Linked DNA regions of Kluyveromyces lactis. The protein of the gene in region 1 purifies or fractionates together with the protein of each later gene. This does not show direct contact. Links are inferred from orthologs where the notes say so. Each region holds a gene or a part of one and is shown in the gene's direction. Other genes may lie near its edges. The genes, in order: ILV2 and SIS1.

Region 1 (4,099 bases):
CGGGTTTCCAGAGAAGTTTTACAGTTCTCCCTTGAGACGGTGTCTCGAGACGTATATGGAATCGTGGGGCCAGGTCTTCACCAGTGAACTTGTCAGTAGTAGCACCGAAGTGTCTGTCTACGTCAAGGAACAGTGTCGAGAGACACTTGGTAGACATTACTGTGACAAGAGGTTACCACATGACCATGTGGTGGAACAATACGGGGAAGAGACATTGCTTGGTAACACCAAGGTCCACTGGGTTTACGAGCCAGGGATGGCAAATGAGGATACCATGTGGAGCGAGACCCATCGGGAGACGGTTGAGGAGATAGACTATAGAATCGGTGGTGCTTTGCAAGAATTGTTGAGTGGTGAGGAAAGGTACATTTCCTTGACGTGTCACTCAGGAGTGATCCAGTCTGCGTTAAGAGTATTGAAACATCCAGAGATTTTGCAATTGCAAACCGGTGGTGTGGTGTTTGTGTTGTGCAAGCCAGCCGAGACAGAAGCCAAGGTCTGAGTGGACATAGGTTGGCACATCTGTATATATACATATGTAGATGTATGTACATGTGGCATATACAGTTAACACCACGTGACCACAAAAAGAAAAAGAGTTTTCGTGCGGGGAAGTGTGTTACCCGACCAAGCCGGGTAACACATACAAATGGGCTTTTTGTCCCTTCATGTCACGTGACCAATCCCCCCCCCCCCCCCCCTTCCCACCTCAGTCGAATTGAATGCCAGGGCCGAGGGCCCTGGCATCCGGTCCTCTTACCGGTCCCTTGCCTCTCCCAGCACCACTCACAACTCTATTCCACTTCCTTTCCTCCAGCACTCACTCAACTCTCACCGCCTCGACCGGCCCGTTTTTTCACCGTGAAAAATTCGATCTATATGCCTATAATACAAACATACTATACACAAAATACCATACACTTTTCAACACTACATCCTGTCATCGACCAATATCAGTCACAATTACCAGAAAACAATACCACCCACTTCACCATCTGCACCGCTGCCTCATTCTAACCCTCTTTTCTTCTCTTCTCTTCGCTCCTCTTACTTCTTACCTCTTCTCTATTGCTTCTTGGATGACTCAACCTTCTTTTTCTTTTCGTTCTCTCAGTGCTTTTGGAAAATTTTCAAACTTTCCAGCTCATCGCCTGCACCGATTTCTTCCCATTACCACTTATACAAAGTGAATATATATATATATATATATATGAACATATATAAGCAACGGTACCTCTTATTGATTGGAGATTCTACTATAGTTTAGACCTTGCTGTTGTTCTATTCCACTTAAGATATCAAGTTTCATATCCCCAAATCAAAAGATGCTCAGTCAGAGGTTTGTAACGCGGGCTTTGGCCAGACGTGCTTTTGGTAAGACATGCTTGAAATTAGGAAGTGCAAGTGCAAGTGCAAGTAACGCTGCTTCTGCTGCTGCCGGTGAGGCTAGTAGCAGGCCACAGCCTGCTCCTAGCTTTAACGCTGATATAGCTGGTGGTTCTTCTGGCGGTGCCAGAAGAAACCAGATCCCATTGTCGAAGAGATCGAGAATCGCAGACAAGAATACTGGTGTCAACATTCAAAACCAGATGGATGATTCGTTCATTGGAATGACCGGTGGTGAGATCTTCCACGAGATGATGCAACGTCACAACGTCGACACCGTTTTTGGATACCCTGGTGGTGCGATTTTGCCCGTGTACGACGCAATCTACAACTCAGATAAATTCACTTTTGTTCTACCAAAACATGAACAAGGTGCAGGTCACATGGCAGAGGGATACGCAAGAGCCTCAGGGAAACCAGGTGTTGTTTTGGTGACTTCAGGTCCAGGTGCGACTAATGTGGTGACTCCTATGGCAGATGCATTGGCAGACGGTGTGCCGTTGGTGGTGTTTACAGGTCAAGTGGCCACGTCAGCTATCGGAACAGATGCTTTCCAAGAAGCAGATGTGGTTGGTATCTCTAGATCTTGTACCAAATGGAACGTGATGGTGAAAACCATTGAGGAACTGCCTCGTAGAATCAACGAAGCGTTTGAAATCGCAACTTCCGGTAGACCGGGCCCCGTTTTGGTGGATTTACCAAAGGACGTGACGGCGGCGGTGCTAAGAAACCCAATTCCAATGAAGTCTATTCTACCATCTGATACTCTAAATCAGTTGACTCAAAGAGTCGTCGATGAGTTCACTTTGGAAAACATTAGCAGGGCTGCTGACTTGATCAACAGGGCTAAGAAGCCTTTGCTATACGTGGGTGCTGGTATTCTAGGCAGCGAAATGGGTCCTCAATACTTGAAGCAACTAAGTGACAGAGCTCAGATCCCAGTCACCACGACTCTACAAGGTCTTGGTGCGTTCAACCAAGAAGATCATAAATCTTTGGATATGGTCGGTATGCACGGTAATGCTGCAGCCAACTTGGCCATCCAAAACGCCGATTTGATCATTGCATTGGGTGCCAGATTTGACGATCGTGTCACTCTGAATATTTCCAAATTTGCTCCAGAGGCTAGAAAGGCTGCTCTAGAGAAACGTGGTGGTATCGTTCATTTCGAAATCTCCCCAAAGAATATCAACAAGGTTGTCGAAGCCGAGGTCGCTGTCGAAGGTGATGTGACTCGTAACTTGGAAAAATTGTTGCCATTGGTCGAATCTGTTCCTGAAAGACCAGAATGGTCCGCTCAAGTGGCTAAATGGAAACAAGAATACCCATACGCGTACCAAAAGGAGACTCCAGGTTCTAAGATTAAACCTCAAACCGTTATCTCCAAGTTGTCCGATTTGGTCTTGAAATCCGGTAGACCAGCCATCGTCACCACTGGTGTCGGTCAACATCAAATGTGGGCTGCTCAACACTGGACTTGGAAAAGTCCAAGATCTTTCATCACTTCCGGTGGTCTTGGTACCATGGGTTACGGTCTACCAGCTGCTATCGGTGCTCAAGTCGCCAGACCTGACGCTATCGTCATCGATATCGACGGTGATGCCTCTTTCAACATGACTCTGATGGAATTGTCCTCCGCTGTTCAAGCTCGTACACCAGTCAAGGTCTTGTTGCTAAATAACGAGGAACAAGGTATGGTTACCCAATGGCAATCTCTCTTCTACGAACACCGTTACTCGCATACCCATCAACTGAATCCAGATTTCGTTAAATTGGCCGAAGCTATGGGTCTGAAGGCTCTCAGACTCTCGAAACAAGAGGACACTGACGCCATCTTGAAAGAATTCGTTGACTACGAGGGCCCAATCTTATTGGAAGTGCAAATCGAAAAGAAGGTTCCTGTCTTGCCAATGGTCCCAACCGGTAAGGGTCTACACGAATTCATCAACTTTGATCCAGAAGTAGAAAAGGAACAAAACGAACTACGTCACAAACGTACTAGTGGTAAATATTGAAATGATAACGAAAACCTAACAAATCACCAAAAAAAATTTGGCGGAGATCTTTAGAACAAGAGTGCTACTCTGTTCAAACTATTCTTCCGTCCAAATCAAGCATATTCATTGGAAACATTGAAACACTCACATTATTATTTAAAAGACAATTCTCCACCAAACCTTCTCTATTGAAAAAAAATATAAACAAGATATGACCCACTATATCATGTATTTGTGTGTTGCAGCTTGAACCAGGTTTTAATCCTACCACTATGAGACAATTTTCTCCTTCCAATAATCTGCTTCCGATCCTGTCATATATATATACATGCAAATATGTATGTATGAATATATACTATTCCTGTATCTTGTATATTTTATTTTATCTAATTGCTGTACACTATTGATCAACTACTGATTATTCACACATCAAATTCGGCCGAACAAGGCTCATATGCGGCACAATTGCCTCGTTAGCCTGTTTCTTCTTCCCCTTTTACTGTGTAATATAGGGGCCTGTTTCCCATATTGTCCAACTGGGAAAGCTTTAAAAAATGGAAAAGTTGATTTGAGCGACATCAACAACTACACCTTAGACTATTCACCTATACAAGAATATAGAAATTACAGTGGACACAACCGCTAAAGTTCTTGCTCGTTAGATCATACTCGCGACTCGAGTCCATCCGTTCAATCTGTCCAGGAAGAAAGGAAGA
Region 2 (3,051 bases), on another chromosome or scaffold:
TCCGTGTGATGAGGCATCTTCCATACATAACAGTTCCCTTTGTTATTTCCTGCAACAAGCATCGATCCGTCGCTTGCAACGGACAACGACTGTAATGGCGTGTTATCTTCTGGTGTCAGCTGGTTTGTGCACTGGTTTTCACCAAGATCCCAAATCCTGATATTCCCATCCTGATCGCAGGAAATCAATTCCCCTTGGTTCGGATGTATCGCTACTTCATTGACAGGTGCATTATGCTTGTAATTCCTTTGCACAGATGGGGACCGTACATCCCAAACCTTAATAGTCCCATCTTCACTAGACGATACCATCCATCGATTTTCCTGTTGAAATGCAATCGACGTTACGTTCCCTTTATGGCCTTCGAAAGAGGACACCGGATTTGGATTATTCGACCGTATATCATAAAGACGGACGTGTAAATGACCAGCAGCAGCCAAATATTTCTTATCGGACGTAATCTCTAATCGATTCACTTGGGAATCTGCATGTTGAATGGTTCGTGAACAGACTCCAGTCAAAGCTTCCCAGAACCTAATTGTGTGGTCGTATCCAGCACTCGCTAGAATAACAGACATGGCAATATTGAAGTTAGTCTGACCGTACACAATAAGAAACCTCTACCTTGTTCACAGGGGAGAAAAAGCCTTGAAAACTCCTCAGATTCCTTAAGACTTTCTTTCATCTAGTATATTGCATATTCTTTATCACATTAAACCATAATTTGTCAATATTCATGATTGAGATATAAACAACAGCAATTGAAACAAAAGTGGAGGCATAGAGATAGCCACAAGATTGTGTAGTGGCTAATGTCATTGAATGACACCTGATTTGCGGCTTTGTGATGACAGATTTGTATTGGTGGGAAACTTCTATATCACGTGATTGTCACATGAATCTCGCGTGCTTAAAGCATTCATGTTTTTTTACTTCTAGAAGGTTCCAGGGTATACTCTGAAAGAACATGATCGGTTGCAACAGAACTGAACCTGAATATATAGGAATGAAATGTTATATAAAGGTTTTCAAAGAACAGGATGTTTTTCGTTCAAAGATTATTGGTCGTTGGTATTCGATCGACATGTTTAGAGAAGAGTTTTATTGCATCTTTTGTCCCATTGGTATCTCGAAACAGTGTAAACATTAACTGATTCTTTTAGTTTACTCTAATTCTTCTAGTTTAGATAGAGCTAATTTGAACTATCATTCGACATATATACAAAAGGACAATTACCAAATTTGAAACGTCGTAGGAGTATGGTTAAGGACACTAAATTATATGATTTGCTAGGAATTTCGCCTAGTGCAGGTGAAGCCGAGATTAAAAAAGGGTACAGAAAGGCTGCCTTGAAGTATCATCCAGATAAGCCTACAGGTGACACTGAGAAGTTTAAAGAAATCTCTGAGGCTTTTGAGATTCTTTCAGATGCTCAGAAGAGGGAAGTTTACGATACTTATGGTCTAGAGGCTGCTCGTGGTAATGCTCCTCAATTTGGAGGAGCGGGAGGGCCTGGTGGGCCTGGTGGGCCTGGAGGATTTTCTTCTGGTGGGTTTGCCGGGGGACATGCGTTCTCACAAGATGACGCTTTCAACATCTTTTCACAGTTCTTTGGTGGAGGAGGTGCTGCCGGAGGTGCTTCTCCATTTGGATTCTCTGCTAGCGGCGGGTCTGGTGATGATTTCGGGTTTGGAGGCAGTAGTTTCCATTCCTCTTCGGGCGGCATGCCAGGCGGTATGCCAGGTGGAATGCCAGGTGGAATGCCAGGTGGATTCAGTAGACAACAGGCTAGACCTGAAGAAGAAGTTGTTCAGGTCAATCTACCTGTGTCCTTAGAAGATTTATTCAGCGGTAAGAAGAAATCATTCAAGATCACAAGAAAAGGCGCCGGTGGTGTGTCCGAAAAGAACCAAATTGACATCCAATTGAAACCAGGTTGGAAAGCAGGTACCAAGATTACTTTCAAAGGTGAAGGTGACTATAATCCAAGAACTGGTGGTAGACAAACATTACAATTCGTTCTACAGGAAAAACCACACGAATTTTTCACCAGACAAGACAATGATTTGATTTACACTTTACCACTTTCTTTCAAAGAATCTCTTCTAGGTTTCTCCAAGCAAGTACAAACCATCGACGGTAAAACAATTCCAATCACAAGAACGCAGCCAATTCAACCTACTCAAACCTCAACATATCCCGGACAAGGTATGACACTGTCAAAGAATCCTTCCCAAAGAGGTGATTTGATTATTAAGTTCAAGATCGATTATCCAACCTCTTTAACACCTCAACAAAGACAAGCCATTATGGATAACTTCTGAATGAAAGATGAAGAATGTCTTTATAACGAAAATAAATCATAAAAGTATGACATGACGATTGCAAATTTAGACTTCTGACGGTGATCATGTTTACAATTCAACGTCTGCCAGAAATATTATCTTCCCACCATTATGGTTCTATGTCATATGTTTTCATTTCTTTAAATGTTTACTCCCATTAATTATTTCCAATTCAAATGTTCCATTCACATTCACTTCAGCAGAAGCAATCTTATCGTATGGCTACATTGTCTGTCGATTAATGCGTTAACTTTCTGACCACACTGTACACTATTTTCAAAAAAATATCCTTCGGTAAATGAAGCACGCAACATAAGTTGAGGACGCAATATAATATGCGAGAGAATACAAGGAGAATTATTCAATGATTGTTAATACTGGTAAAGTAAGAAACGGGACGTTTCATTGTGACACCTCGACTTCTGTTCACAATGTAACCATTTGCATAGATTTTAACCTTCATTTACCTTTTTATTGAGCAAATGACATCATGCAAATAAAAGACATACCAATCTGCAAGTTTCCCGACTTCTATTTGGTTCCGAACAATTGATGTCTGCCAAAAAAAAAAAAACTCCAAGTATTATTATCAAATCTTCTATCTACCTCATACATTTACCATTACTTTTTGCCATTACTTCAATTGAAGACGTAATGGTGTCTTCACACGCGCATAAATAATTTACAAATTTATATATACGAATA

What was found.
Region 2: the proteins of ILV2 (region 1) and SIS1 purify together in Saccharomyces cerevisiae (affinity purification with mass spectrometry; 3 studies listed by BioGRID, with this or other methods). This does not show direct contact. The link is inferred for Kluyveromyces lactis from reciprocal best matches to the Saccharomyces cerevisiae genes ILV2 and SIS1.

The regions. Positions count from the first base shown.
Region 1 is NC_006038.1:1,099,791-1,103,889, reverse strand, and holds ILV2 (acetolactate synthase catalytic subunit), read left to right. Parts: upstream 1-1,325; coding exon 1,326-3,401; downstream 3,402-4,099. Other genes in the region: PMU1 (putative phosphomutase), read left to right, coding at 1-502; KLLA0_B12606g (uncharacterized protein), read left to right, coding at 723-1,190. UniProt on the Saccharomyces cerevisiae protein: Catalytic subunit of mitochondrial acetolactate synthase, which catalyzes the first of a series of common steps in the biosynthesis of the branched-chain amino acids.
Region 2 is NC_006040.1:410,889-413,939, reverse strand, and holds SIS1 (type II HSP40 co-chaperone SIS1), read left to right. Parts: upstream 1-1,260; coding exon 1,261-2,325; downstream 2,326-3,051. Other genes in the region: TOR complex subunit LST8, read right to left, coding at 1-578. UniProt on the Saccharomyces cerevisiae protein: Required for nuclear migration during mitosis. It is required for the normal initiation of translation. Might mediate the dissociation of a specific protein complex of the translation machinery. Essential for viability.